Elephas maximus indicus: one gene and its partners. The protein of the gene in region 4 binds, or shares a complex with, the protein of the main gene of each other region. Links are inferred from orthologs where the notes say so. Each region holds a gene or a part of one and is shown on either strand. Other genes may lie near its edges. The genes, in order: DHX16, BUD13, RNF113A and SRRM2.

Region 1 (7,288 bases), on a different chromosome or scaffold from region 4:
AGTACAAGGTAAATGATTGATGGTTGCTGTTACTGGTAGTAACAAGCACTCAAGACGAGGAAGAGGTTATAGGATTTGATTTCCTATATGCCAACTGCCCTTTAACTTGGGGCAAGGAGGGCAGGAGGCAAAGGCCCTCACTCATTCTCTATCATTATTGCCTCTTGTACAGATGAGTCCTGCCGGAGGTGACCCTCCCCCACACAGGGAAGATATATTGCCCTCCTTCCCAGAACTGAAGATCCTGGAGCCTAGAAGATCTTGGGCAGACAGACCCTGAAAATGAGCGTGGCAGGGAAGAACAACCAACATCCCCCAGCTTGCTTTTCTCGTCCTGTTTATGGGGGCAGAGACAACTGCTCAACTTCAACCCTAACCCAAGGTCCCTGGTGTGTCAAACGTGCTGGTGCATCTAGGTGATCCAAGAGTGAGTCCCAAGCCCTGGACAGGTGCACAGAGCCCACTGGGGGTGTGTGTGAAGATGGAGGACCCCCCATTTCCATGGGCACAGACACTGTCCCTACAGCCTTCCTTAGCTCCCCTCCCCACCAGGTACTCTCAGGATTTAAGCACTCATCTATGTCCCTGGGAGGCCTGGCCTTCACTCCGATCCCTAGATCACCACCCTTGTGTTTACAGCTCCTGCCTCCTCTCTTGACCACAGCCTGGTTTACAAACCCCACCAACTCCCAGCCCCATGCTGCCAAAACCCCACGTTTACAAGCCACGCCCACTTGCCGAGTCCACGTGGATTTCCTCTCCCCCCTCCTTCAGTTGCCTCATTGGGAGTCGCCTGGGGCGTGGCTCCTCCCACTTTTGCTCAGTATTACTGTGCCTCAGTTTTCCCCAAGAGGGAAGGCTGGGAATCTTGACTTTGTACTCCCAGATAGTTATTTAATTCTGTTCCTCCTAGTGGTTCACAATTGAATTGTAAGAGTGTGGGGTGACTAAGGAGGCACCTGCCTTTCCTTCTTTATGAATGTGGTTTTGTTTTTTAACTTTCCGTAATAAAATGGAGCTTTCTCCGACTCTCGTGTTGCTTCTCTTTCTTTAGAAAAAAAGAAAAAGTGTATGTGGAGGAAAGGCTTCGGGTTCCTCATTTCCAAGCCTCTCTCATCTTCCCATTGGCAGTGAAGAGGAAGGGGCTGTGGCTGTGGGAAGGAAGAATAATGGAGGATGAACCAGGAACTCAGCACTGAGTATAGAAGGGGCTTTAGGAGAGCCTTGCATGGGTTTCACGTGCAGGACAAGCAGATGTGAGGAAGGACAGTTGAGGTGTTCAGTAGACTAGAAGTATCATGAGGGCAGACTATGTCAGTTGGGTTCACTGTGGTGTCTCCACATCTGGCACCTAATAAGCACATAATTACTTCTAGAATGACTGAACAGATGAATTCATGAAAGGAGCTATAAAAAATAAATCTGAAGCACAGGACACTGAATTAAAGGATTGCAATATCCAGATGCTGGCTGCCATGCAAGCAACTGTAATGTGTGACACAACTCATGTGGCTACTGCAGGAGCTTTTTTTAGTCTAAGGTTTGGGGCCATCAACAGTCAGTCCTCTGAAACTGCTGCAAAATTTAGTGACTATCTACAGAAGGTCAAGTTCCTGGAAGAGGGTCTCCTCTGATAGGCAACAGATTTTATATTCTAAAGGGTTAAGAACCACCATAATTCATGGCTTTGGTACCCATAGTTGACATTAGGGGATTTTCTTATTTCAAAGAATCTATCTTCTATGTGTAACATCTGCTATAGTTTACCTATTTTTTCAGTTGCCATGAAGTTGATTCTGACTCATTGTGACTCCATGTGTGTCAGAGTAGAACAGTGCTCCATAGGTTTTTCAATGGCTGATTTTTTTTTTTTTTTCAGAAGTAGATTGCCAAATCTTCTCTTCTGAGATACCTCTGGGTGGACTTGAACCACCAACCTTTCAGTTAGCAGCCAACCACGTTAACTGCTTTATACCACGCAGGAAACATTTTACCTATGAAGTTATTTATTAGCTCTTCAGGCTAGTAAAGGCATAGTTGAGTAGTTATAGTCCTTTTACCACTACACAGGATGCCTCATCCAGTCTAACCAGAGGAGACCCCCCTTTGTTAAAAAACAAAATGTATTAGACAAATTAATCTTAAGCATATATGACAAGCAAGGTAACAAAAGAGTGAGCAGTTCAGAGAGGGTGTGGGTATGGAGGGGAACAATTCTTTTATCAGTAGCAAATTCAGTAAAGATTCTAACCAGTTGTGACCTAGAAAAGCTGGGGCAGGAAGCTCTAAGATACCAGGGGTGGTGCTCTCAGTCCACCTCTGAAACAGAAAACAAGGCATCCAAGAAGTCAATGATATGGATCCCCCTGTGCCTTTTAATGGAATAACAACGTTTCATTTTCCAACAGTAGTGTCTGATAAGTCCAATCAACCACAAGAGTATGAAGGAGGGTCAAACAGGTGAGCCAGCAGAGCTTCAGGTAACAAGTTTGCTTTCAAATAAGCAACCATCAGTGAATTACTCAAGCTATTACCAAAAGTGCAGAGTTTGCTCATTCCTTAGTTTGGATTCCCACCCCCCGCCCCAACAACTTTCTGAGCATCAAGAAAAGAGAACATCTTTGCTTTTCCCCCCAGTTCCCAAGTTTCTTCTGTCTGGAGGTCCCTCCTTATACCTAACCTGTGTTCACTCCTGCTGCAGGTACGGGTCCTAGCAAAGGTCCCTTCTCATCACTGGCTAATCTTTCAGAAGCATGGGCCTGAATTTCCTATTTGAAATATAACTCCTCTCCCCCTTACTTGCTTTATTTTTGGTTCCATAGAACTTACCTATTTTACATATTACCTATCTTGTCTGCCCGCATCCTCAAATGTAAATTCGGTAACGAATTTTTGTCTGATTTGTTCTCTGCTGTATCTTCTGCAACTAAAAAAAAAAAAAAAAACCCGCTGCAGTGGAGTGGATTCCAACTCATTGCGACCCTATAGGACAAAACAGAACTGCCCCAAAGGGTTTCCAAGGAGTGCCTGGTGGATTCGAACTGTCAACCTTTTGGTTAGCAGCCATAGCTCTTAACCACTATGGCACTAGGGTTTCCCTTCTGCAACTAGAACTACCTCAAACAAACAAACAAAACCCCACCAAATTCATGGCCGTGGAGTTGATTCTGACTCATAGCGACCCTATAGGACAGAGTAGAACTGTCCCATGGGATTTCCAAGGCTGTAAATCTCTAGGAAGCCAGCTGCCACAACTTTCTTCTGCAGAGTGGCTGGTGGGTTTGAACCGCCGATCTTTTGGTTAACTGCAGAGCACTTTAAACAATTAAAACCAGTTGCTGTGGAGTCTATTCCGACTGACACTTTAACCCCCCAAAAAAAACCACTGCCGTGGGGTCGATTCCGACTCATAGAGACCCTACAGGACAGGGTAGAGCTGCCCCACACAGCTTCCAAGGAGCGCCTGGTGGATTCGAACTGCCAAACTTTTGATTAGCAGCCATAGTACTTAACCACTAAACCCACTGCCGTCGAGTCGATTCCAACTCATAGCGACCCTATAGGACAGAGTAGAACTGCCCGATAGAGTTTCCAAGGAGCGCCTGGCGATTGGAACTGCCGACCCTTTGGCTAGCAGCCACAGCACTAGGCCACCATACTTAACCACAAATAAAAAAACTCAGTATTTGTTGAATGAATGAGTGAAGCACCCACGAGCTGACCAGCAGGGGGCGATAGCACGATTGGGTAGAGGAGGAAATGGGGGGAGGAAGTGCTTTACTCCGAGCTTCTCGTACGGTAACGCGACGCTTGAACTTGTTCGGCCACCGTAGTGCTCAGGCCGGAAAAGCGCGTCCGCTTCCGGCTTTCGGGGTCCGGGAAGACGGACTGGGTTTGTTGGAAACTGAACCCGGAGGCCGTAAGTGGGCTCCTTTGCGGAGTTTAGGGTCCGGCTCGGGGGTCCAGGCCTCTAAGCAGACTGGCCCCAGCTCGGCTCGTCCGGACGCTTCAAGGCTGGGAGTGGTGACCGTAGGTTGCCATGGCGACGCCGGCCGGGCTGGAGCGCTGGGTGCAAGACGAGCTGCACTCGGTACTGGGGCTCAGCGAGCGGCACGTAGCCCAGTTCCTGATCGGCACCGCTCAGCGCTGCGCTTCGGCCGAGGAGTTCGTGCAGCGTCTGCGAGACACCGACACCTTGGACCTCAGTGGCCCGGCCCGGGATTTCGCCCTGAGACTCTGGAACAAGGTGTCGGGAGAGGTGGAGCGCGACTGGGGCGGTGCCTGGCGTGGGAGCGGTAGGAGTAGGGGTGGAGCAGGGGAGGAGCCCTACGTAGGTCCTGGTGAGGCTGGCCTAAATGTCTGTCCCGCAGTTAAGTAACGTCAGTTCGCCAGGTGTGTATCCGTTGTCCGTTGTCACCCAGGTACTGTGCTAGGTGCTGGGCGTCCAGCTCAGTGGAGAAGATCGAGGAGAAGGCTTTAAGTATGTTACTTTTAGGCTGCGTTAAGTGCTATAGAACAGTGTGTTAAACTTGAACGTGCTTACGATTCATCTAGGCCCCTTGTTTAAAACGCAGATTCCGATTCAGGAGGTCTGGGGTGGGTCTCAGTTTCTGCAATTTCTAATATGCTCCCAGGCGATGCGGATGCTGCTGGTCCACTGACCACACTTTGAGTGGGAGGCCATAGAAGAGATTTGTGGGAAGTGCTGTGGATGGAGAAGAGGAATTAGTGACCAGAGAAGGCAGGTCCCAAGAGCCCCTAGAATTTGTCAGGTAGAGAAGGGGGAAGGAGTAGTGGTATAAATAGTGAGCTCCTGGAGCACAGGACTGTGTACTTCTTGTCTTTGTATTCCTACCACCTAAGTTCCTGCCTTGTAGAAAGAGTGAAAGTGTTCAGCATATTCAGAGAATGGCAGATAGCCTGGTGTGGCTGTGGTATATGCTGCATGGCGAGAGATGAGGTTATGTACGTGCCATGTGGACAAGACTTTCTTTTCACCAGTTTATCCTTGGAGTTTGATACAGTTCGGGGCATGTGACAAGCCTCTGCAAAACAACCCTTGTAGCTTGTCAGCCTTTTTTGTAGGAATGACCCAATCACTGGGAAGAACAAAGCCAGGAGAAAGAGGCTGAGCAATTGAGAATTGGCCTGAAAATGTAAGCTCCACAAGGGCAGGAATTTTTATCTTTTTTGTTTATTCCTTGTCTGTAGTCCCTAGAAAAGTACCTGAAACATAACAGGCTTAATAAATGTTTGCCAAATGAATGAGAGGACGTTCAAAAGTTGGAGGGTCCTATTAAGGCTAAGGAACATGATGTGAAGCCATGGGGAAGAGAGGGGGCAAAGGTTGGTTTAAGAGCGAGTAATTCCTCAAAGGGAAATTAACTTAGGCACAGGGCTAAGTAAGTGGGCAGAGGTCAGGAGTTGCTCGCACCCCATTACCTTCCCCTCTCCTGACAGGTACCACGGAAGGCAGTGGTAGAAAAGCCAGCTCGGGCAGCTGAGCGAGAGGCCCGAGCCCTGCTGGAAAAGAACCGATCTTATAAGTTGCTGGAAGACAGTGAGGATAGCAGTGAGGAGACTGTGGGTAGGGCTGGGAGCAGCCTCCAGAAGAAGCGTAAAAAACGGAAACACCTCAGGAAGAAATGCCAGGAGGACGAGGAAGAAGAGGAGGAAGTGATCTCTGAGAAAGAAAAGAGAAAGACGGGGTAAGTTAGAAGCAAGATGAGAGGGGATGGGGCAGGTGGATGATGGGACTATAAGCCCTGTGGATGCCCTTACTTAATCTCCTGGGCCGGGCTGCAGGGGGAGTAAACAGCAGACGGAGAAGCCAGAGTCAGAGGATGAATGGGAGCGGACAGAGCGCGAGCGCCTTCAGGACCTGGAGGAACGTGATGCCTTTGCTGAGCGCGTTCGGCAGCGGGACAAGGATCGGACTCGCAATGTCCTAGAGCGGTCAGACAAGAAGGTGCATAGGAGCCAGAATGTTCTGTAAATCCCCAAGAAGATCCCTGGGTCAAATCTGATGTTGGGTGTGATCCCAGAGATGGTACGAAGACAGGGATCATCTCTAGCAGTATGTTCATCTTCGGGTTCTCTGCTAAGGTACCTCCCTGCTGTACCTGCAGCCATAGAGATTCCTTACTGAGGGGATATTTCTCTGTGAGGGGGCACATCAGAATGATCCTTTGCAATTCTAAAGGGGGATGGCGATGGGTTGTCGGGGGGCTTCTTGCCCTCACAGCCCTCCCCTCTTGGTTTCTTCTCCTAGGCTTATGAAGAGGCTCAAAAGCGCCTCAAGATGGCTGAGGAAGACCGGAAAGCCATGGTGAGTCCCAGGGCCCATGAAGCCAATCAGAAGGCAAAAGGAAATACTTTCTGATGGCGAGATTAGGGGAGGGAGAAAGGATACAAAAGAAGTACAGTGGGGATGATGATGGAATGCCCAGGCCTCTGGAGGATGGTATTTGGTTGACAGGAGCCAGCTGAGCACAGAGGAACTTGGAGAAGGCCATAGGATGGAATCAAGCTGTAGAGGGAAGGAACCATGGGTGAGAGCTACCCACAAACCCTCCTTCACTCTTTACTTTAGGACCAAATCACAGTATGTATTAGGGAGATGTGAACCTTCCTTGTTCCTGGGACTTAGCGGGACTTACTCAAAAGGCAGCTGCGATGTCATCAACGGGTGGCTAGAGGGCAGGGGCAGAGCAACTGTCCCAGCTCCCCAGGGATGTCCTGACCACCATCTCCAAGTACCTTTCTACCACCTAATCCCTGCATCCCCCACATGGCTTTATGATGTCTCTGTGGCTTCCTGAGTTGGTGTTCTTACTGGACAGGGGCAGAGCCCTTTGTAATTCATGAACCAGACTTCTATGATGCAAGTCTAGGTAGGGTAGGCAGTTTCCCAAGGGCCTAGTTTCCCAAATAAGGTCACACTTAGATTTCTCAAAAGAATCTCGAGAATCTTTGAGTCTTAAGAATGGCCTAGTCACCCTCAGGTCTCTCCTGACTAGTCCATCTCGTGTCCCAGCCCACAGAAGGGCTGTGGTCAAAGACTTCTGAGACATCTCTTAGTGCAGTCATAGTGCTTTCATTTGCCTGGACTTAATTTTTTGTTTCTTCTTAAATTATAAAAACTGTCCAACAAATGAGGGGAGTTGAAAGAGTACTACAGTGAACACTCATACAGACTATTCGAATTCCAAAATTGCTAATATTGTGCAGTATTTGCTATGTCTATGTAAATGAGGGTCTTTTTTTTAACCATTTAAAAGAGTTGTGG
Region 2 (8,201 bases), on a different chromosome or scaffold from region 4:
ACTGCAGCACTTTTCACAAGAGCCAAAAAGTGAAAACAATCGGACTGTCCACCAACAGAGGAATGGATAAACAAGATGTGGTACACACATACAATGGAATATTACTCAGCCATAAAAAGAAATAAAGTCCTAATACACATCACAATAATGGATAAACCTTGAAAACATTAGGCTGAGCAAAATAAGTCAGCAACAAAAGGACAAATACTGTATGATCTCACTAACATGAAATAAGCATATATATAGAAACCAAAATTAGTGGTTACCAAAGGTGGAAGGGAGAGGAAAAGGGGGAATTTTTGCTTAAGGGCACTAAGCTTATCTTTATGGTGGTAAAATAATTCGGAAAAAGATAGTGATGAGGGTTGTATAACAAAAAGAGTCAACGTCACTGAATTATGCCTGTATAAACTGTTGAACTGGCCAATGTTTTTTGTACGTATTTTCACCACAATAAAAAAAAAATCAGTCTCCCCTTCTAGGGTATGCTCTCTAAAGTACAGATACTATATTCCATTAATCTACATATCTCCAGTACTTAGGCAAGTTTATACAATTTTAAAGCTTAGTTAAATCAATGAATGTTGCTGCTATTGTTAGTTGCTGTCAAGTCGTTTCTGACTCATGGGTGCAAATAAAAAGTTCTCTATAACTGAACTCGAACATTGTTCAGAAGCTGGATTCCCACAAACTGAACTGTTGCTAATTCTAGTTATTGTTCTATCACTGATGCTGAGGAAGTCCTGCCTTGCTCTGTGACTGGTTCCCATTTCTAGGCTAATGGGTCCCTGGATAAACAGAGAAGTCAGTGTAGAGGCATATGTCAAAGAAGACTATTTTAAACAGCTCTTTGGAAAATGGCATCTCTTCTCTGCCCTCAAATTTCCCTCATACAAATCTGTCCTGCACTGGGAGTACAGACTGGGAGGTTTACATCATTTCCAAGTTCCGACAGCCCCAAAAGATATATACCACAGGCAAATCTCCATCATCTTCCTCTTCCTCCTTCTCTGGTTTAGTGGTGGAGATAGCTGTCCAACTCACATCATCATCCACAATCCGCATTCTAAATGTGAAAAACAAAAGATAAAAGAAGAAAAATCATTCTTGGATAACAGCCTAAGAGCACTTATCCATCTGGTTTTAGGAATAAAGTTCAAAATCCTACACATTCCTGCGTGATCCGGCCTTTGCCTAGGTGGTCAACGTCATCTTATACTGCTGCCCTCTCAGTTCACTACCTCACGAGCACCTGAAACGAGGCAAATTTCTTACCACATCAACTTTCACATACCAGTTCCCTCTGCCTGACCTGCTCTTCTCCTCATTCTTTACCAGAAACCTCTTACTCATTCTTCAGGTCCCAACATAAATTTAACTCCCTTAGGCATACCCTCCTTGATTGGTCCTCTCCCCTAAGTCTAAGAACCCCCGTTACACACACTCAGAATACTTTCACTGCATTTACCACAAAGGAATCAATTTATTGTGTAAACAGTTGTTTAAGGCCTGTATCTCCAATAAACTGTAAGCTCCATCAGAACAGGCACTACGTCTTTCTTGTTCATAGAGGCCTTGTCGACACCCTGCAGTAACTGGCATGTGACGTATTCAATAAGTGTGTGTTACAGGGATGAACTATAGATGACAGGAAATAACATTAACTGCCATCACATGAATAGCTATTATTTGAAAAGTCAGGGATATTTTATAAATCATCTCTAATCACAACAACATAGTACCTGGGAGGTACTAACAGTTAATGTGCTCAGCTGTTAACAAAAGGCTGGAAGTCTGAGTGGCCAGAGTCTACCCAGATGTGCCTTGGAAGAAAGGCCTGGTGATCTGCTTCTGAAAAATCAGCCACTGAAAACCTTAGAGAGCACAGTCCTACTATGACACATGGGCTTGCAATGAATAGGAATCAACTCCGTGGCAGCTGATTTTTTTAAATCACAAAAACCATTTAATACAAGCAGTATTATTTACTATTATTCTCATTTTCAAGATGGGAAAACTGAGATTCAGAGAGATTAAATATCTTGCCCAAGGCCACACAGCCTATAAAGTGGCAGAGGTAAAATTCAAACTCTGAACAATGTTGCCCCAAAGCTAAGCTATTTCACTACATCGCACTGCCTCCAAAGAATCCACCCGAGAGAAAGGGACCCAAAAACACAGAAAGCAAAAAAAAACAGAATCAAACCAGGAAAGGCAATAGATTAGTTCCTTGGAACCCTTTGACACCGCTGGGCTACAAAAGTTTCCTTGTTTGTAAAACTGTGATAATAACAATAACGACTCCGTGGTAGTGTTGTGAAGCTTAAGTTCATGTATGTGTAAAGTACCTAGAACGGTGCCTGACATACGGCAAGAAGTGTGTACGTGCCAGTCGCTGTTGGGGGCATTAGCAGCAGTAGTGACCAGGGCTCTCCGACTCAGGATCACGAAGCCTTTGGGACTTTTGAGAACCCCACGGGCAAGTTCAGGACCCTAAATCCGAGCACCAAGGCACTGAATTAGCTCCACCCCCATTCTCAGAGCACGATATTCATTAACTCCGGAGGGGTCGGAAGGCTACCAAAGCGGGAAAAGAGTCATGGAAGTCACAGCCCAGTTTAAACAACCGAAGACGCTGCTCAGCAGCGCGAAGGGTAAAGGCGGGCAGCCACAGCGGGCCCAGGCCCCGGCGCCCCGAGTCGCGCGCCCTGAGCTTAGGCAGCGGGCGGACGAGCGGGCGGAGCGGAGGACCCAGGCCGGCGAGGAGAGCAGGCAGAGCCCCGGCCGGCGGCGCAGAGACCAAGGCTGAGGGCCGCCACAGGCCCGCCCCCGCGGTACCCACTCACCCCTTGCCGCCGGCCCCTCCGGGCTTCGCCCGCTTTTTGCGACGCTTGCGACCGGACTCGGGGCCCCCGTCGACGCCGGCATCTGCCCCAGACAAGTACCGCTTCAGATACTCGGCCTTGGAGAGCGGCGGAGCTGCCGCCATGGCAGCGGCGCGGGCGGGGAGACGGCTCGCCCCTGGGGTCAAACTTAGGGAACGCGGAACGGACGGCAGTGACGGGAGGGGCGTGGCCAGACCCGGAACTGGCGGAGCGTCGGAGCACCGGCGGGGAGACCTCCCGGGTGACGCGTTCGTGGACCAACCGGAAGTGCAGGCACGTCTAGGGCCCGTTGTGCGTACTTGTGAGGACGTTACCTTATTGTGTGTCCATCCGTTCATTCACCAAACTTTGCAGTAAGCGCCGTTCTAGCCTTGAGGCTACAATCACGACCCAACGAGATATCTGCCTCCAGCAGCTTCAAAGCACCATATACGTAGTGGTTAGCATAGGCTGTGGAGTTACAGGGTATTTAAGTTTGAATCCTGGCTCCGTAACTTCCTAGTTGTAAAACCTGGGCAAGTTATTTAACAAAATGGGGACAATAATAGTACTTAATCAGGATGATTGCGAGATCTGAGATGACGTTACTGTGTAACGTGCTTAGAACAGTGTCTGGCGCAGTTACCGATAGTTATTTTTATTAGCAGTGTAAGTATCTTTAGGTGGGGAGAAGTTTAACAAGCTTCCAGGTACATTCAAGAGGGGAGATCAAGAACTTCAGACCCAGTATGTTGTTAGTCAGGCCGCTTCCAACTCATGGTGACCCCACGTGTAGCAGAGTAGAACTGCTCCATAGGGTTTTCAAAGCTGAAAGCAGCCAGATTGCCAGGGCTGTCTTCCGAGATGCCTCTGGGTGGGTCCAAACTGCCAATCTTTCCACAAGCAGCCTAGCATTGAACTGTTTGTGCCACCCAGGAACTCCTAGACCCAGTATAATTCCTGTGAAAAATACGGAGGTTTCTAAAATCTGTGTAACTTCTGCACATCCAGTTTCATTGGTTGCACCTATCTACCTCTTGAAGGAAATTGTGTAAATCTTTCCATTGAAAAAAGACCTGGACCTGCTTTCAGCACAGCCAAAGAGTAAAGCCTGTGAGATCAAATTCTAATACTCAAGTCTTGGGGGGAGAAGACAAGAGTACTTGAATTATCTCATTTAAACCCTCACAACTATTCTCGGTTTATCATCCTTATTTTACAGATGAGGAGATGGAAGCTTGGAGAAGATAAGGGAAGTTGCCCGTTATCACACAGCAAAAAGGTGGCAAAGACAGGATTCAAGCTCAAGCCACAGGACTCTTGGGAGCAGAGGTTAGGGAAGTGCAGTAAAAAACGTGATCCAAACTTTTTGAAATAAAATATTAGACTGGATATTTTCTTTTTATAAGGTAAATTTTGTCGGTTTTAGTCAAGTAGGCATTGTCATACTTTATAACTAAATACACATACACTGCGATACATGCTCAAAAACTCGTTTATGTTGTTGTTAGTTGCCGAGTCAACTCTGACTCGTGGTGACCTTAGGTATAACAGACAAAACATTGCCCAGTCCTGCGCCATCTTCGTGAACATTGACTTGAGTCCATTGTTTCAACTATCGTCAATCCATCTCATTAAGGTTTCCCTTATTTACCAAACATGATGTCCTTTTGTAGTGATTGATCTTTCCTGATGATATGTCCAAAGCAAGCAAGCCAAAGTTGTGCCATCCTTGCATCTAAAGAGCATTCTCGTATTTCTTGAAGACCACTGCTCTGAAGAATGAACTTCTAAGCACTGGGCTATAATCTGAGTGGCTGCCACACCAGCCCAGAAAAGAAAGCAGGCTGGGTCCCTGAGGGGTTATGAGGAGACATTGAGAAACTAGGGCATCACTAGCTAGAGGTTTCTACAGGTCCCCCATATGCAATGCTGCCTTGGCTTAAAGTCCAATTTGTTAGTCTCAAACTGCCTCCACCTTGATGACAACAGGCATTTGGAAAGGCTCACATTTCCAATCTAGTCGATATTACCAGTATGCCCTTCTGGGCCCTGCCAACCCATCTCCTGACCATTTCTGGCTTCTTCAGTTCTGTCCCTACCCATTCTACCCAATCCTCAACCTTGGCTTGACAAGACCCAACCTCAATGGATCCCAACCCTGTCTGCTTCACAGGGCAATTAGGCAGGACCAAGAAAATGCATGTCTGGTGGCATGGTCTGAGCTTTGCCCTCTCTCTACAGTTGCATTGAATAAGGCAATAATAATTATTATTATTATTATTATTTTTATGGACATGAGCTCAAAATATTGAGAGCTCAAGTTGCACAGTCAGATTGGCCTGGATTTGAAGCCTGCCTCTTAACTATACTTCATTTTGGAAGTTATCTAAGCTCTCTGAAGCTGTTTCCTCACCTGTAAAGTGGGGATAATTTTGTTTATTTATAGCTATTTCCCAAAAAGGACTTAAAGCAAAAATGGAGACACTTCAGAATTTTTTAAGGATTGATGAGAGAAAATACAAATAAAAGGCACTTCACAATTATTAACTCAGCTAATTCCCAAAAGCCCCTACAAAAAAAGGTACCATTATTTTTATCCCCATTTTACAGACCAGGAAACCAAAGCAGCAGAGGTGCCCATACTAGTGGACTTTCTAAACTCTAAAGTAAATATGCAGACTAAGTAGCACTGCCTCGTTCTTTTATGGTTAAAAATGCTGCCATTTTTCTGTAAAGGGTGGGGAGAAGTGTGCAGATTTTTTAAAAAATAAGAAGCAGCCAATAAATTCATAGAGTCAGGAACTGTGGTTGCCAGGTACTGGGGGAGGGAGGAATCAGGAGTTACCGTTTAATGAGTATAACATTTCCATTTGGGGTGATGAAAAGGTTCTGGAAACAGTGAATGTTCTTAATGCCACTGAATTGTACACTTAAAAATGGTTAAAATGGTATATTTTGTTGTGTATTTTACTATAACAACAAAGAATGAAGTCAAGCAGTCTTAAACACCACTGCCCTAAATATAAGCAGACATGGTATTCCCTGCAATGTGCAATAGGCAGCTGACATACCACGGGTGTATGAAGACAGAAACATACTGACAGTGTCGTAACAACAGAAGTCTTCCTCACCCCACCAGTGAAGCTTTCAGTTAGCGAGGTCATTGCCCTTCATACTAATTCCCAGCACTCACCACATCTCCACCACTTACTCCATTACGACGACACAGGTACACATTCAGGACCTACCTGTATGTTCACAGGTCTGATGACCAAATATAAAATATAGCTGTATTTAACATGTATGAAATATGGTAAAGTAGATAGAATGCCCTCAAAATAAACTCTTCTTTTTTTTAATATAATCACAAAACTTCCCATGTAAGTTTTACTCTCATGGTTGTGAAATTAAATCTCCACGTTCTTAGGCCGGCAGCTTGACTCTCTCACCTCCCCTGGCCTTAGAGCAGAGCCCTTGTTACCTCCATGTGCCCAAAGGGCTGGATCCAGGATGAAGGATTCACAAACATCAGCCAAGGATTATGACAGATCATCTGTATGCCATATGCTAGGGAATGTGGGGCAAGACAAAGTTAAGCAGATGTAGGCTTCCATCTCGGGCAGGCTGTATGAAACGTGACTGAAAGAGTTCAGGGACACTTTAAAAGTGTGAAAATGAAAGATGCCAGGCCTTTGTCCTATCAAAGAGCAAGGAGTACCTTAGCTGGGTTATCCCAGTCTGGAACCTGGTCATGTCTTGCAGGATATCATTTCCCAGTAACTGGGGGACTGCCTCATGCCAACCAAACTCAGAAGACTGACAAACCAGAATGCCATTTGTTTTCCCTTCACAGTGGAAGATGAAGCTGACACTGGGGCTCGTCTTCACAGAGCACATCCACCCGCGCCACAGGGCATTCACCAGATGATAGACCCAAACGGTGTCTGGTAAAGTCAGGTTCCCTGGTCAGCTGAAAACACATCTACAGGCAGTCTCTTAAAGTAGAATACTTGCACGTGAGAAATCTCATCAAGGTATTATAGTTTATAGTTGCAAGAGCGAGTCATTCGCTAACCTTAGTCTCCAAATTCATAAAAAAAAAAAAAAAAAAAAAAACCTTGTATTCAGGCATGGGGGTCAGTCCTACATGGAAGTAATAAATGCCAAAGAATCCAATACAGGCAGGTTTCTGAAAACAGAACCTTTAGAAACAAATACATTTCAGGAAGAGGGAGGAGGCAGAGATTCCAGATAAGGCATGATCGAAGTGAAAAGGAAACCAGAGGCACATTACTATCACAGGAACCAAGGGAAAGGTTGAGAGAAGAGAGGGTCCACTGTCAGATGTGGAGAATAAAGGGTGAGAATATTTTCCAAGTGGAAAACCACTTGTAAGCTTTGGGAATAGTTTAATAGAGCAGTGAGACTGGTTGTGATTGCCAAGCCATCCATAACTAGGCAAGTCTTTGTAGCACAAACCTTAAGGTTTGAGGTAGCATCTCAATCAACTAATAGGTCTTTAATGAACAAATTACCCTGCAGCCAGCACCAAGGGCATCACCATTTGTGAGACTGCCTGGAGTTAATAGGAACCTGGAAGCTACAGTCAGAGAACACTGGCCGAACAGTAGCCAGGGAGTCTAGAGCCCTGGGCTAGAGTGCTCACTGGGCTGTTAACTTCCAACACAGCTATAGACAGCCCTCTCCCTCCCTGGCCGAACCTGAGTTTCCCCATTTGTAACTGAGAGAGTAGGACCAGATGATCTCAGATATCCCCACTGGCTCCAGCATGCTCCAACCTCATACCTTTGCAATCTCCTATGCCTGGAAATCTCTTTCCCCAGCTATCCACATGGCCTACTCCTTTGCCTCCTCCGCTTTGGCCAAATGTCAAATTATCACTTTCTTGTTGAGATTTTCTCTAATTGAAAACTATCTGAAATCACACATACACAACACTTTTCCTGGCAGCACCCACAGCCGTTCCCAGCTTTACAGTCCTCCACAACACTAAACGCCATCTGCATACCGTTTTACTTATTTGTCCACTGTCAGTTTCTCCCACTGTCAACTGAATTCATTGTCAATTGAAGCTCCATGAAGGCAGAGGTTTGGTGTGCCTGGCACATCACAGGCATTCAAACATCTCTTGAAGGAATGAATGAAATTTCAGCTCCAATCCCAAATTACAATGGCCACATTAGAGAAAGTTTTATTCAGGAGTCTGAATTCTAACAGCATAGTATCAAACAAGGACAGAGTGAATACCTAGGCCAGCGCTGTCTGAAAGCCATCACTTTACTAACTTCACCTATGCTGGCCTCCCTCCCCTGA
Region 3 (7,729 bases), on a different chromosome or scaffold from region 4:
AACGCTATGGAATGCAGCTCTACTCTGACACACGTGGGGTCGCTACGAGTCAGAATCAACTCCACAGCAACCAGTGTTTTTGTTTTAGGTTTTCTTCACTTAATTACGCAAAAATTAAGATGGATAATATCTAATGTTGGTGAGGATGTGAGGAAGCAGGTATTCTCATATTTGGTTGCTGGAAGTAGAATTTGATACAATCCTTCTGAACGGCAAGTTGGCAGTATCATCAGCATTCAAAAGGCACTTCATTTTGTCCAACCATTCCACTCCTAGGAATCAGTCCTACAAAAATACCCATACACTTATTCCACGCACTGCCCTGGGTCCCCAGTCAGGCAGGCCTCCCACTCCGCAAGGGTCGTCTCCTTTCTGGATACTGTCACATGCCCAGCTCTGTACTCCTCAGGTAAAGAAAGGTTCCTGCCTGATACCAGACTGCTCAGAGGAAAATCAGAAAATAAAACCTATAGGCAAATATCAATGAATCACAGATTATTCCGCCTAGAGAAGAGAAGGCTAAGGAAGAACTCCAGAGCAGCATGGCTGCAGATGTTCTTCAGTTCCACGGAGGACCAAACAAGTGAGGAAGGCAGTGATGGTGGGTAAACGCTTAACAACTGGCTCTCCCGGGGAAAAAAAATGTGCCTACGTGTGTGTATTTGTTATAAATGTTACTGAAATAAAGGATGTATAGGATACAGCATACAAATACTAAGAGATAATATTCTCCATTTTAAGTCCCATGTAGCTAACTGATTTTCACAGAATGCTTTCCTTGGTTTTTGCCAAACTTTTCTATCTGTTGCTAACTCATGATTGCAATCCATCTATGAATTGACAAGTGCAGTTGTATTCCAAGCTGCTCTTTTCCCAATTAACTCACTGTCATTAAAAAAAAAAAGAATGTGCCTAAAGAAGGCATGTGCTAGAATTTTTGCTGCAACATTATTTGATCAAAAAATAAAATAAAAAAGGAACTACCCCGAGTATTCTTCCACCAGTGGAAGAATAAGCTGATTACCTGTGGGACTTCTGCATCAGATACCTAGGAGGCACAACTTCTGTCAGGGACAAAAAGGCACCATCATTTCTCTTCGTGATCAGCTACAGTCGATGTTAAATATCATTTGAGATGATTCTTTAGGATACGGTGTTTTACACCACAGTAAAAAGAACATAGACTAGCCATTTCTCAACCTTGGCACTACTGACATTTTAGACCAAATGGTTCTCTGTTGTGGGTGCCTAGCCTACGCATTATAGGGATGTTTCACAGCATCTCTGGTCTCCACCCATTAGATGCCAGTAGCACCCCCCCCAAGTTGTATGAAAAACATCTCCAGACATTGCCAAATGTCACCTTGCAGGCAAAATCGCCGCTGGTTGAGAACCACTGATATAGACCTATATGTACCAATGAGGGAAGATCTCATCTCCAAGATGTCCTATTAGATAATACTAAAAGAATAATATGCACAGGATGATCCCATTTTTAAAAAACTGTATGTATAGATAACATGCATAGGTACAGGAATACACAGGGAAAAAAAGCCTAGAATAATACACAACAAAATGAAAATAATGCTACCTCAGGAGAAAGGAGAAGGATTGCATGGGTAGCTATGCATGTTGGGGTGGGGGAGAAAAGGGGCCTTTGTTTTTTACTGTTTGTATTCTCAAAATTTTTATACAATGCATTCATAAATTACTTACGTAATTTTACAAAAAGAAGTTAAATGAACTCGGACAAGTACTCTGTAGACAGTAGGGCACTAAACAAATCTAAGCTCTCATATCAGTTGACTAAAGAGATTTAGACAGGTGCTTGATTGTACTTGGCTCATGATTTCATCCACAGACAAGCACCTATGATGCATGAATTCTGTTAGGGATTAAAGCAACACTATCATTTCTCCTTACGATCAACTACAAAAAAATAAATAATTTTCTATGTTAAATACAATGTTAGGTGATTCTTTAGGATAAGGTACTTCTTCCACTGTAATTTAGAAAGTACTATCAATTTTTTTATCAATTAGTCTTTATTTCTATTCAAAAATCTCAAGAAGCAACGCGAGGCTCAGCTAATGTAAAATTAAAGTGACTTGACCATCAAGTCCAAAACTCCAGACTGAAACAACTCACCAAATTCCATCTTCTCCCCTCTCTATCAGCACTACATCTTCACTTTTATTCCCCACAGTATCTTAGGGCTTATTTCCTTCACTTCCATCTTAAGCCTATTGCAACTTTGTGTTTTGGCTTGGTTTTTATACACATACCCTTTGATCTAGTGTAAAACACATTTGCCCAGATATCAATCTGCATTTCCCCCAGATTATGGCTTCTAATCAGACTTTTATATTTCCATAAAAGATACTATGGTTGGATTTTGGGGGTGCCAACAGTTTTGTACTCTAGATATTCAAATGGAAAGAAACTGCTGTCAACTTGTAACAGTAAAATGACGGTAAACGTACTGTTTCAAGGAATTTCAGAGTACAGTATTTACAGATTTTAAGACCTACATTACATTATCTAAGTATCAATGAATTCGAGTCCATAATTTCCAATGCCCCTAAGCCAAATAAACCTTAAAAAAAAAAAAAAGACAACTCAGAAGTTAACCAGAAGAGAAGGAAACATTTATTAAGCTTATAATGCTGAGTTCCTCACACAGGGAACAAATACTGTCATACCACAAAAACTCTATCAGGTAGTGTTTAACAGTTTTGTCATACAACTGAGGCAACAGAGGGTTAGAGAGACCAAAAAGACCTAAGTAGGGCAGAAATTCAAATCCAAGTTTGTCCAACTCTAAAGCTGGAGTATTTCCCACTTGGATACACAAACTAGTCCTCTTAATTGATCCTCTTTTCTTTCACTAATATATACCACGGTCACTTGAATTATATTTTTAAAATCAAATTTACAATGTTTAAAAATGTACAGATTTATACAAAAGAACAGTCATCAAAAACTCACCCACAAATCTTTTTTTAAAAATATTGACTAACCACTCTGTTGGTCAATTGCTCCCCGTCTCCTGGATTACATAAGCCAGTAAAATCTCAAAAACAATTTGGGAACTGACAACAGCATTACCAGTTTTTTATTCTGACAAATGAGGCAATGAAAAAACTAACTACAAACTGGACAAGTAGTACAGTGTAGGGACTAAGGACATGGGCTGTGGCTCAAATCTCAGCTCCCACCATTTCCTTACCAGCTTATGACCCAGGGGGAGGTATTACCAGAACCCACCTCAACCCTGACATGTGGTTGGCATCATGGTCATCTTACCTTTGATACGTAGGAAGAATCCACCCCAGAGACCCGCCTATCTCTTTGCATCAAATGCCACTGATATGGAAAATGGGCAACCCTTTTCTCCTACAAATAAAAAACAATTATTATTGCACTGTATAAAGATGGATGACCCAATTGCTGAATATCAGAACTTTAAAAAAGCATCATTGTAGAAAAAAAGGAACAATCACTGAAATAGAAACCAAATTAACAAGACCAGAATCTCCTAAATAAAAATCAGACCACTAAACTTTACAATTAAAATGGTCAACATGACTTCTTACACCTTTCTATTTTAACCAGCCTCACTTTCTTTATTTCTGTCCCCCTTTTTTTGGAGGATAGTTTACTTGTTATCTTTTAGGACACCAGAGAACAAAAACAATAGTGGTGGGTAACACGTGAAGGGCAATCAAAACCCAGAACATAATTTTATACCATTACTGTATTCTAGGGATGATGTGAACGGCTAGGAAGAGGGAAAAATTAAAACCTGATGAGAAAAATAGGGTCTTGGGGTAAATTCCTAAAGGCTTGCAAGAGAAAATAGGGAATTAAGAAAATGTCAACGGAATAACCTAATTAAGAGCAGAGAAACGTGGATACGAGAAATTAAAATCAAACCCGAGCAAGAAAAAATACTGATTAGAGGTCGAGGGGAGTAGAGACAAGACTAATCTTTCTCTTGCTTTGGACCCACCTCTTCTCATCTCCTAATCCCTACTCTGCCTTTTTGCCCACTCTCCTCAGAACAGCAACTAGCTGTTTCTTGCTAGAATAGGATGCGGTTTCCGTCGGACTTCATTCCGCAAGCATCCATTTTCAGTCATCACTAAAAAAAGAGGTGGGCGGACCTTGGTATCCCCCACCTGAGAGAGAAGCACCGGAGCCTAAGGGCCTCCCTGACCCGCCAGTGCAGTGTCGACCCCAAGACTGGGGGAGCTGTCTTACCTTTTTCCTGGCACTGAACCTGTGGATGTACGCAGTGGTCACTCCGGGGATTAACAAACACGCCGCCATGACAGCGATGCCAGGGAGAATCTCGAACCACATCTTGGCAGAACCTCCTTCTAGATCACTTAAAGGTGACCCGGCTTCGGCTTCCTTCCCGGTAAGCTCCGCGGCGCTCCACGAGTGCGGTGCGTCACGCCTTCTCCGGAGGAAGCGACGGGGTCCGGTAGGGCTCAAGAGTGCGCGATCACGCCCTCGCGCTCAAGGGTTTTAGCAGTGTTTTCTGTGGCGTCTTCCTCCGGCCCACAGGAGAGCGCAGGTCGTGCGGTGACTTGACGGGGCCCGCGCTTTCCCACACGCCGGAGCCGTTTGGGAGCTCAGTACTCCAAAATGGCAGAGCAACTTTCTCCAGGAAAGACGGGAGACCAGGTGTGCACCTTCCTCTTCAAAAAGCCGGGACGAAAAGGTGCTACAGGCCGCAGAAAGCGCCCTGTCTGCAACCGAGATCCCGGAGAAAGCAGCAGCAGCAGCAGTGAAGAAGGCAGCACTGTGGTTCGCCCGGAAAAGAAGAGAACGATCCACAATCCGATGGTACAGAAGACGCGTAGCAGCGGTAAACAAAAGGTGGCTTACGGCGACTTGAGTAGCGAGGAGGAGAATGAGCCCGAGAGTGTTGGCGTGGTCTACAAGTCCACCCGCTCAGCGAAACCCGTGGGGCCAGAGGATATGGGTGCAACCGCTGTCTATGAGCTAGACACAGAGAAAGAGCGTGACGCACAAGCCATCTTTGAGCGCAGCCAGAAGATCCAGGAGGAGCTGAGGGGCAAGGAAGATGACAAGATCTATCGGGGAATCAACAATTATCAGAAATACATGAAGCCCAAGGATACGTCTATGGGCAATGCCTCCTCGGGGATGGTCAGGAAGGGCCCCATCCGAGCTCCCGAGCATCTACGTGCCACGGTGCGCTGGGATTACCAGCCCGACATTTGTAAGGACTACAAAGAGACTGGCTTCTGCGGCTTCGGAGATAGCTGCAAGTTCCTCCATGATCGTTCAGATTACAAGCATGGGTGGCAGATCGAACGTGAGCTCGATGAGGGTCGCTATGGTGTCTATGAGGATGAAAACTATGAAGTGGGAAGCGATGACGAGGAAATACCATTCAAGTGTTTCATCTGTCGCCAGACCTTCCAAAACCCAGTCGTCACCAAGTGCAGGCATTATTTCTGCGAGAGCTGTGCACTGCAGCACTTCCGCACCACCCCACGTTGCTATGTCTGTGACCAGCAGACCAATGGCGTCTTCAATCCAGCGAAAGAAGTGATTGCCAAACTGGAGAGGAATCGAGCTGCTGGAGAGGGTGGTGCTTCCGATTTCCCAGAAGACCCCAATGAGGATCCAATTCCCATTATTTAAGTGTCTCATAATTCTCAGATCTCAGAATAAATGTTTTGTTGTTTTGGAAATCTTGTGTCCTGACTTTCTAGGGAAGGTGACTGAGAGGAAAAGGCAGGTAGTGAAGTAGGGTCCTAAATGACTTAAAGCGTCAAGGTAGGTACAACCTGGATTTTTAGTCCTGGGATAAACACTTTACTTGTGTGTAGCATATACTTTTCAGAACTCTTTGGCATAAATTATGGGGATGGGATTTTGAAGTTTGAGAAAAGAGCTAGAACTTGTTTGAAGTAACCAAGGCTGTGATGGGAGCAAGAACTGGACCTATTTATTGTATCATATTTCTGTATCACTTAATAGTTTGCTAAGTATGTTCACATACCTTTGTTGGGAGCCCTGAGGGCCTGTACTCATACTGACTTCAAAATGCACCAGAGCCAACATATGTGATTGGGGGGTGGCAGGAAGAATGGGGTTGGGGGACTGGTAGCTAGCACCACAGGGTGCATGTATGGTAAGTGGTCCTTGTTCTTTCTGAAGCATCTATAGGTAACTCCCCCACTCTTTCACAGATGATAGAAATAGTCTATGCTGTGCTGTCCAATATGATAGCCACTAGCCACATGTGGCTCTTGAGCACTTGAAATGTGGCTCATGGCCAAGTACTGGATATCACAGTTCTAGATTGAACTTGTGAACCTGCAGAAGGCAAAAACCTAATATTTTATAACTCATTATCTGAAATTATCCATGTTCTCAGAGACTATAACAGAGCTGGTCACGTCCCAATATAGTTAGTCTATGTACTCTTCACAACTACTTTGTGAACTCCTTCAGTGACTAGCCCAGTGCTTATTAAAATAAGCTCAGAGAGGTTTGAAAAGGGAGACTGGGAACAAAGCCTTGAATGCCAAGGTAAAGAGCTTCGACTGTATTTCTGTAGATAATGGGGAAACAGAGGATTGGGGACGGGAATACAGACTTTTTAAAAATATTTATTGTGGTTGCAAGCAGAGCCCTGGTGGTGCAGTGGTTAAAAGCTCAGATGCTAACCAAAAAGGTCAGCAGTTCGAATCTACCAGCTGCTCCTTGAAAACCCTATGGAGCAGTTCTACTCTGTCCTATTGGGTAGCTATGAGTCGAAATCGACTTGATGGCAATGAGTATGGGTGGCTGCAAGCTATAGGATGGATTGCAGGAAGATGGAAGACAAGCAAGAAGGCCAGTTAGGCCAAATCATTAGCACATGGTTATCGATCTAACTAGAACTTGGGTATCCCAGGAAACATGCAAGAATACGTTGTGGGGTAGAGTGTCTTTTATTCACATTCATTAATCCATTTAAAGATATTCTTTGAGCAGCTGCTGTGCCAAGAACTGTGCTTGGCATAGGGGATATTAGCAGCTTCTGCCCTCATGAAGCTGGACATTAAACAATGACAAGTGTGATGAGTATCACAAAAGAGTGCACTGGGCTGATGTCCCAGGATTAACCCAATCCCTATTTTAGAGGACTTCAGAAACAAACTCACTTGAGACAGTGTGACACATTCTATAAGAATATACAAAGTAAGATGGGAATACCTGAGAAATTGCCTACTGGGAAAAGTGTTTAAGAAAGCCTCATAGGCGGCAGTGGTAGTTCAATGGCAGAATTCTTGCCTTCCACGTGGGAGACCTGTGTTCGATTCCCAGCCAATGCACCTCATGTACGGCTACCACCTGTCTGTCAGTGAAGGCTTGTGTGTTGCTATGATGCTGAACAGGTGTCAGCGGAGCTTCTAGACTTAAGAGAGACTAGGAAGAAAGGCCTGGCAATCTACTGAAAACCAGCCAATGAAAACCCTATGGATCCAGAGCTGATTATTGTAATTGCTGTCAATAAGCTGTATACCTGTAAAAAGTTGAATTGTGAAAAGCTGTGTCATATTTACAATGACAAAAAAAGAGTAGCTGTGAGACTGTTCATGTACAACCAAAAACTTCATGGGATTTGGTTCCTTGGTGTAGGGTCATGGTTTCATGGGACATCCCAGTTAATTGGCCTAATAACATGATTAGTGCTTCT
Region 4 (8,298 bases):
TCAGTACAAGTCTGCCCAGGCGAAGCTCCACCCCTGGATCCAGGGCTGGGCACCCACCCAGGCTGTCGGACAAGGAGAAGGACGATGCTGGGATTTCAGGTGGCACAGAGAATGCATGTGCAAAGAATCTGAAGAGATGGCGAGATGAGACTCAGCCTCCCTGCCTGCGCAGAGACCGTGGGGACCTGCTTCTGAGTCTCCCCAACAGCAAGGAGATTTGTTTTTCATTGTCTGTCAGGGAAGCATGTGTCTGCTGACACTGGGGCATGCCCTTCATGTTGAACCCCTTCCTAGTGCCAGGTACTGCACTAGGTGCCAGGGCACTGACCAAGACAAAGACGCAGACTTGCCCTCGAGGAGCTCATAGGCAATGGGACAGGCAAATAATCCTGACCATAGGGGAGGCAAGGTCCATGGTGGTTCAAACCCACTCTGCAGTGCCACAGAAGAAAAGCCTGGTGATCTGCTTCCTAAAGATTGCAGCCAGAAAACCCTATGTCTATTTCCCAGTTCTGTCCTCCAAAAGGTCTAGAAGCAATGACACCCATAGCAATAAATGCCCAGATCTCAGTTTCTAAATACATTCTCTAGTGACTTAGTTATCTGGTTCTGCTATAAGAGGAATACCACACGTGGTAGCTTTAACAAATGGAAATTTATTTTTGCACAGTTTAGGAGGCTAGAAGTCCATATTCAGGGCACTGGCTCTAGGGGAAGAGACTCTCTCTCTTGGCTGTGGGGGAAGGTTCTTGTCTCTTTTCAGCTGCTGTTTCTTGGTTTCTTGGTGATCTTCATATGGTGTGGCATCTATCTTCCCCCATCTCTGCTTGCTTCTCTGTGCCTGATCCGCTAGGTTTATATCTCAAAGCTGATTGGCTTAAAACACACCCTACACTGACACAGCCTCATAAACATAATAAAGAAAACCCTATTTCCAAATGGCGTTACATCTAAATTATAGGGGTTATAACTTAAAATACGCTTTGGGGGGACACAATTCAATCCATAACAACTAGATACTTAAAAAAAAATATTTTATTGTGTTTTCAGTGAAAGTTTATACAGCAAATTAGGTTCCCATTTGACAATTTCTACACAAATTGTTCAGTGACATTGGTTACATTTTCACAATGTGTCAACATTCTCTTTAATTGCTTTCCGGTCATTCCATTTCCAGTGCTCTAGTTTCCCTGCCCCCTTATCTTCTTATCTTTGCTGTACAGTAAATGTTGGCCTTTGGTCTCATATAGGTGTGTTTTTGTTTTTTAAATTGTGCTTTAGGTGAAAGTTTATACGGCAAATTAGTTTCTCATTAAACAATGCACATACTGTTTTCTGACATTGGTTGCCAACCCTGTGACGAGTCAACACTCTCCCCTTCTTGGCCTTGGGTTCCCCATTTCCATTCATCCAGCTTTCCTGTCCCCTCCTGCCTTTTCTCGTCCTTGCCCCTGGGCTGGTGTGCCATTTAGTTTCACATTATGGTTGAACTACGTGTGTTACTGTTTGTTTTATAGGCCTGTCTAATCTTTGGCTGAAGGGTGAACCTCAGGAATGACTTCAATACTGAGTTAAAAGGGTATCCGGGGGCTAGATGTGTTTTTTTAGATACTTTTATTTTTCAGTTTTACAGCAGAAAAACCTGACTGACCCCTTCTGAGCCAAATAATCAAAGCTAGCATCAGCAGTTGCCTCTTGATAGGATGCACTGAGAAGAAGGAAGCTTCACGTCTCTGCTCTTCCTGCCCAAAGTACACAACCTGAATCTAATCAGGAGGAAACATCAGACCAACGCAAACTGAGGGGCATTCTAGAAAACAAATGGCCTGTATTCTTCAAAAACTGGCAGTGTCTCGAATTACAAAAGCAGCAGCACATACTGTTCCAAATTAAAAGGAGTCTAGGGACATGGCCTCAAACACAGCAAGGACTGTGAGGGTGACACAGGACCAGGCAGTGTTTCCTTCTGTTGTACCTATGGTCGCTATGATATGAATCGGAAACGACTCCACAGCACCTAATAACAACAAGGGAGTCCCTGGATGGTACAAACAGTTAACACAGCTGCTCACTGAAAGACTGGAGGTTCAAGTCCACCCGGAGGTACCTCAAAAGGAAGGCCTGGAGATCCACTTCCAAAAAATTGGCCATTGAAAACTATGGAGCACAGTTCTACTCTTGACACGGAGTTGCTGTGAGTCGGAGTTGACATAAAGGCAACTGCTAGTGATGGTGACTGGGAGACATAACAACTAAATGCAATGCTTGCATGATCTTGGATTTTCTTTTTCTATAGCAGATGTTATTAGAACAATTGAGGACATCTCAATAAGGTCTATAGATTAGATAGTAATACTGCCTCTAGGTTATTTTCTTGATTTTGATCATTGTACTGTGGATATATAAGGGAATTCATTATTTTCTCTGTAGAGAAGGATAATAACACCTACCCCACTGTACTGTTATGAGCATTAACTGAGCTGATTCACATACAGAACCCAGCACAAAATACTCAATAAATATAGCGAATATCACTGGGAATTCCATTATAGGCAAGAGGATCTCACTGGGGATGGTGAGGGGTTAAAAAAAAAATCCACCTCCACCCTTAGAAATACCAGCTCAAGCCCAGAAAGACAAAGGTACTTGGTCATACTTACCAAGAAGTGTGTCCAGCTCACGGAAGCAACGTGCAAAGGTGCCCAAAATCAAGGAGGCAAGATTAAAACAATTCCCTGGACACTGTAAGCTGAAGTTATAGGTTGTACACCAAATGGAAAGTCTCCCTGTTCTAGTGTCAGAGATGAGTATATCTTTCTGTGGGCAAGTTAAAAAAAGAAATCTTAATAATATCAAGGGTAAGTCCTGAAACTCAAATTGACAACAGTTTATTAAGCAGCTATTATGTGCTAGGTCCTCACAATCCTCACAATTGTGAGGAAGGCACAGGACCAGGCAGTGTTTCATTCTGTGTACACAGGCTTGCTGAGTTGGAACTGACTCTAGTTGGAAAGAACTCGATGGCACCTAATAACAGTGAGCTAGGTTAGGTTCCTGGGTGGTGCAAATTATTTTTGATCAGCTGCTAACCAAAAGATTGGCGATTGGAACCCACCCAGTAGTGCCATGGAAGAAAGGCCTGGTGATCTGCTTCTATAAAGATTACAGCCAAGAAAACTCTATGGAGCAGTTGTGACACGTGCGGTTGCCATGAGTTGGGATCAAGCCCATGGGCAAAGGTTTGGGTTTTATGTGCTAGGTCCTGTTGAGGATGCAAAGACACCAGACATAACCAGGACAGCTACATATAGAGTCCAAGGTCGGCCAGCAAGTGGTGGAGTCAGATTTACACTTTGGGCTTTCTGAGAAGCTCAGCTTCTTACAACTCTGTTCTGAGGATGCCTGGCTACTTCTGAGACTCAGAAAAATGTACTTAAAAACATCATCAGGAAACATTCTGCGGCAAGATGGAAAACTTAAGGGCTCTTATATGTCTTCCTTACATTTTTGTGTGTTGCCAGGCGGAAACCCCAGGTTCTGTTGAGCATGACTTTCGTATTGGTCAATAAATGAGAGACCAAGGTGGGAAAGCAGAAAGGAACCTTTATTTCATTGTAAAATGAAAGGCATCAGTTAGAGCTGCTGCTGCCATGGCTGCTCAGCGAGGGCAAGGGGAAAGTTTACTTTCAAAGAGTTTACAAGTGAGGAGTTCATACAAGTTATGTCAGCAATTCTTAATCGTACTACGAAAGCGCAGTTCGTCACCAGGACTTTTTTTTATAATGATTCTTATTGCGCTTTAAATGAAAGTTTTCAAATCAAGTCAGTCTCTCACACAAAAACCCATATACACCTTGCTACACACTCCCAATTACTCTCCCCCAATGAGACAGTCTGCTCTCTCCCTCCACTCCCTCTTCTCTTGTCCTTTTCTCCAGCTTTTAACCCCCTCCACCCTCTCATCTCCCCTCCAGGCAGGAAATACCAACATAGTCTCAAGTGTCCACCTGATCCAAGAAGCTCACTCCTCACCAGCATCCCTCTCCAACCCACTGTCCAGTCCAATCCATGTCTGAAGAGTTGGCTTCGGGAATGGTTCCTGTCCTGGGGCAACAGAAGGTCTGGGTGCAGTGACCACCGGGGTCCTTCCAGCCTCAGTCAGACCACTAAGTCTGGTCTTATGAGAATTTGGGGTCTGCATCCCACTGCTATCCTACTCCCTCAGGGGTTCTCTGTTGTGTTCCCCGTCAGGGCAGTCATCGGTTGTAGCCGGGCACCATCTAGTTCTCCTGGTTTCAGGATGATGTAGTCGCTGGTTCATGTGGCCCTTTCCATCACCAGGATTTTTACGGGGCAGGCCAAGCAAGCTGTTTAAAGCATTTGAATTTTCTGAAGCCTGTGGACTTCTGCCTTATGTGTGTACACATTCACATATAAAACATCCCAGATTCAGTATGAGAAAATTGCATCCCTGCCTGGTCACCCTAGCTGGGAGGCAACAGAAGATTATTCCCCAGGGTCTCCTCCTGTCTGCTGGCGTCTGAGGCAGCTTCTCAAAACTGCAAAAGGTTGGGGTCTGCAGCCCATAGTTACAAGCAAGAATCAGAGTCGCTGCGCTCCGACCATCACCCCTAACATAGGAACATAAAATGGCGGCCGTGCTCCGAGGCCAAGCCACATACGGGTTCTGTGGCACGCCGGAACTACAACTCCCAGAATGCTCCCGGCCGAAGGCCGCCGGTCGCTGTGGCCCTAGGCTCTGTATTATTGCCCCCGCCCCCCAACCCTCCCAACCGTGGAAGGCCTACGGACACGTCTCCAGCCTTCCTCGCACTGGCCGATGGAACTCGCAGTTTTTCGGCCTCAAGGTTGAATCTCTCTGGGGCCTTAAGAAACTACACTTCCCAGTGGCATTTGGGCACAAGCGCACAAGGCCGTGGGGCATACTACGGTTCCCGGAGGGCCCTGCGACGCGCGCGATTGCGTGATGACGCGCTGAGCGAGTCGTGCTGACGTGCAGCGCGTGCAGCGCGGCCCAGGCGGGGTACCAGTGGCGCAGTTGGAGCCCGCTGCGGCCCGAGTAAGCGAGGAGACGTCAGCATCGGCTGAGGCGGGCAGACCAGCGAGGCGTGGCGGCGGCAGCGGCGGCTCCGGGCCTCAGGGGACTCGGGAGCTCGAGCAGCGGCAGCGGCGGGACCTCTCCCGATCAGAAAAGGCAGGCGGCGGCGGCGGCGGCGGCGGCGGCGGGTGAGAGGGTGAGGGAGCGCGTGAGCTGGGTGGGGGAGGGGCGGCCGCGGCGCGAGGCCAAAGCGCGCGGAGAACGGCCCAGGCCGCCTCGCGCACGCGCTCTCGGCACCCCCGGCTTGTGTGGACGTCTTAGCCTGCCTGCTTCCCCTCCCCCCTCCTGCGGCTCCTGTTGCGCGCGGGCTTCGACTCCCCGCTCTTCCCCCATGGTAACGGCGCGCGCCGCTGACCGCCCTCGTGCTCGCGCGCTCCGGTCGCGGCGGGCGCGCGCGCTCCTCGGTTCCTCGCCGCTGCCCGCGCGTGCGGCCCGGGAGGGCCTTGTCGGCGTTTCTGAGGTGCGGGTGGTTGGGTGGCGGAGGGCCTGACCCCAGGTCCTTGCCCCCGCCCCCGGTCTTTTTCCCCCGCTTTTCTCTCGGGTGGTAGGCTCCGCCGACCCCCCGGGAGGCCCGGGTTCATCCCACTCCTCCTAGACTGCGGGGCGCTGCGCCGCCCCCTCCCCCACCCCGGGAGGCCGAAAATAGGCCTCGGCGGCCCAGACGGCGCAGTAGGGCCTGGAAACAGTGCCTCATGAAGCACAGCGCGTGGACTGGGTACTATTTTCCATGGAGTATTTGGGGTGGGGGGCGTACTTTAGAAGAGCCCATGTATTCAGCTCAGATCTTAGATTTATAGAGTGCGCACCGCGTGGTCCTTTTTTCTCCACTTTTTTTTTTCCGTCACTTCTCCAAATTCGTGCTAAAGCGTGGGAGGCTGTCCAGTCCTTGGTTGTGGAGAAAACGCCGGAATCTGTTTGAGAGGTCTGGCGTTCTGCTTCAAGCACTGTTTGGTGCAACGTTTCTGAGTCTTTTTTTTACAGAGTCTCAGTTACTACTCACACATCTCTGTATTCTGGATCGAGAAATTTAAAAGTTTGTTCTGTGGTCTTTCCTTGTGTAATCGTGTTCTGTCGAGCCCACTCAGCCACTGTAATGCCCCAGCCCTGAGCGTGTTGTCCGTATCTTGCATTTTCTTGGGCATTCTGCCTCTCTTCTTGGTGCATTTTCTCTTCTTGAGTGCCTGTACTGAATTTTAGTTTTTTCCTCTGCCTCTTTTATTTGGCACCCCGATAATTTTCCCACAGAAAAAAATTCTCCTGTTTTTGCAGCTCGCTTTTACTTAGTGCCTGTACCTTGGGTACATTTTGCATATCCACAATTTATGGACCTAGTTATAAGAATCTGTGTTTTATAAAGTGGCGTGGTGGTTTGTATGTGTGTGGTTGATATTCCCCTTTGCATGGCTGCTTTCCTTTTAGTGTTTTGAGCGCTGCCTTGGATGCCATGGTATTGGGTTTTTCTTTTTTGGCTCCTCCCCTAAAAGTTCTGTAATTCGTTGTGCCGTAATACCCTTATCAACTTAGCAGCTGCTAGGGAGTGGGCGGATTTTTGTGTGAGGTGGTATGGAAGTGTGCCTGAATGGTTAACTGAAGAATTTCAGGTCAGAAGCATTCTCTAAGGGAGCAGCAGATTTTAGGCAGGCCATAGAGGAAAGAAGGACTTAGGTGTGGAGAGTGGGAAGGATTGGTATTTAAGAAAATAGAAATAAAGATTGGAAGGCAGAACATCTATTTTCTGTGCTGTAAAGGAAGTTTTTTTTGTTTAATCTTTTTGTGCATTTGCATTTGCTTTCCCTAGATAATGACCTCACCTGTTCCTCCTTTAACCTGGTATAGTTCCTTTTTTTCCTCCTTCATTCTTTTGGGTCTGCTGCTTGGGTTGAGTGGTCATTCTGGAATCTCCGTTCTTTTCAGCATCTTTCCTCCTTTTTTCTCTTACCACTTTAGTGCATTTTCTAGTTATTCATGTGATAATCCTTTGTTTTGAAGTTTAAGTGTAACTTTTTTTATCTGATTATTTCATTTGCTTTTCCTCACCTCTGCCTAATGTGTCTTCTTTGCCTGAGCCTTGGGTCTTTTCCTGTGATAGTTTGCCCTCACACATTTATGCTTTGTAAAACTGTCTTGGCGAGGATGGGCGAGAGAAAGGAACGAAGAGTGTAACATACAGCAGGAGACAGGAATATGTGTGGCTAAGAAATCTGAGTAGAAAAATGGGGGCCTGGCGCTCTTTAGGGTCATGCGTGGGGTGGGAGGCATAGGAGTAACAGGAGAAAGGGTAAGGTGAGGCTTATAAGAGAATAACCAGAAAGTGACATTTAGGGTATCGGTAGTGAAAGCCAAGGACGGGTTAGTATGACTGAAAGTGAAGTGTAGAGAATATTGGTGGGTTTAGGGCAAATAGGGTAGAGAAGCTGTGAGAGTAGTTTTAACAGTGACTAGTTTGATATATTTAAATAGAATTTGAATTGAAAACAGGTAGTATTTAATGGGAGCTAGAGTCGACTGGTTTTTTAGTAAGATTTGGAGAGAATTACCAATCAAATGAGAAATCTTATTGAGAAGGAAATTAAGGGAAGAAAATATCAATCAGGACAGTGGAGAGGAGCTATGAATATTTAGAATCAAGGAAGTGGCCTCTTATCTGGGAGGTGAAGTATTAGAGCATTATGTATCTAAAGTTCATGTGGTTTCTGATGTGCTTGCTGGCCTTCATTCTGAGTGAAAGGCTGTACAGGACGCTTGTTTCTCTTAACCAGTCAGGCCACTTGCTCAGATGAGTATGGGCCCTTTAGTCCATTTTGTATATGTACGGTGGCCTCAAAGCCTCAGGTTGTATCTTGGAAGAGACTTGGACTACAGGCCCTAGGATGCTACAGATCTGTGTCTGGTGTTGGTCATGCCCTATTTGGAGGCCTCAGTCAGTTACCAGAGGTTAGGAAGATGCTATTTGTGTGTATTGGAACCAAAGCAGGATGAAGGGACGACAGCGGAGAGATGTGAGAGAAGTACGATTCTTGTTGGTCTAGGGTGGAAAAAGACAAAAATGTAGGTGCAAGCAGGAATGATTCAGAATTCTGTGTAAGAACACTGGGGGAAAGCCTATGAGAGCTGGTCTGTGATTTGGTGGAATGTGAGCAGTGCGGGAAGGACGAAAAAGCGAGACCTGATTAGGAGAC

The links.
Region 1: SRRM2 (region 4) and DHX16 share a complex: the UniProt entries of both Homo sapiens proteins name them as parts of the minor spliceosome. The link is inferred for Elephas maximus indicus from reciprocal best matches to the Homo sapiens genes SRRM2 and DHX16.
Region 2: SRRM2 (region 4) and BUD13 share a complex: the UniProt entries of both Homo sapiens proteins name them as parts of the minor spliceosome. The link is inferred for Elephas maximus indicus from reciprocal best matches to the Homo sapiens genes SRRM2 and BUD13.
Region 3: SRRM2 (region 4) and RNF113A share a complex: the UniProt entries of both Homo sapiens proteins name them as parts of the minor spliceosome. The link is inferred for Elephas maximus indicus from reciprocal best matches to the Homo sapiens genes SRRM2 and RNF113A.

What each region holds. Positions count from the first base shown.
Region 1 is NC_064819.1:90,992,141-90,999,428, reverse strand, and holds the start of DHX16 (pre-mRNA-splicing factor ATP-dependent RNA helicase DHX16), read left to right. Parts: upstream 1-3,852; 5' UTR 3,853-4,039; coding exon 4,040-4,246; intron 4,247-5,460; coding exon 5,461-5,708; intron 5,709-5,805; coding exon 5,806-5,968; intron 5,969-5,979; exon of another isoform or gene 5,980-6,078; coding exon of another isoform or gene 6,079-6,105; exon of another isoform or gene 6,106-6,206; coding exon of another isoform or gene 6,207-6,271; coding exon 6,272-6,328; intron 6,329-6,478; coding exon of another isoform or gene 6,479-6,551; intron 6,552-7,288. Other genes in the region: PPP1R18 (phostensin), read left to right, coding at 173-192. UniProt on the Homo sapiens protein: Required for pre-mRNA splicing as a component of the spliceosome. Contributes to pre-mRNA splicing after spliceosome formation and prior to the first transesterification reaction.
Region 2 is NC_064835.1:9,018,910-9,027,110, forward strand, and holds the start of BUD13 (BUD13 homolog), read right to left. Parts: upstream 3,062-8,201; 5' UTR 2,990-3,061; coding exon 2,847-2,989; intron 1,067-2,846; coding exon 973-1,066; intron 1-972. UniProt on the Homo sapiens protein: Involved in pre-mRNA splicing as component of the activated spliceosome. As a component of the minor spliceosome, involved in the splicing of U12-type introns in pre-mRNAs.
Region 3 is NC_064846.1:37,014,760-37,022,488, forward strand, and holds the start of RNF113A (E3 ubiquitin-protein ligase RNF113A), read left to right. Parts: upstream 1-4,517; 5' UTR 4,518-4,653; coding exon 4,654-5,682; 3' UTR 5,683-7,729. Other genes in the region: NDUFA1 (NADH dehydrogenase [ubiquinone] 1 alpha subcomplex subunit 1), read right to left, coding at 3,307-3,396, 4,264-4,365. UniProt on the Homo sapiens protein: Required for pre-mRNA splicing as component of the spliceosome. As a component of the minor spliceosome, involved in the splicing of U12-type introns in pre-mRNAs. E3 ubiquitin-protein ligase that catalyzes the transfer of ubiquitin onto target proteins.
Region 4 is NC_064830.1:59,942,982-59,951,279, reverse strand, and holds the start of SRRM2 (serine/arginine repetitive matrix protein 2), read left to right. Parts: upstream 1-5,132; 5' UTR 5,133-5,215; intron 5,216-8,298. UniProt on the Homo sapiens protein: Required for pre-mRNA splicing as component of the spliceosome. As a component of the minor spliceosome, involved in the splicing of U12-type introns in pre-mRNAs.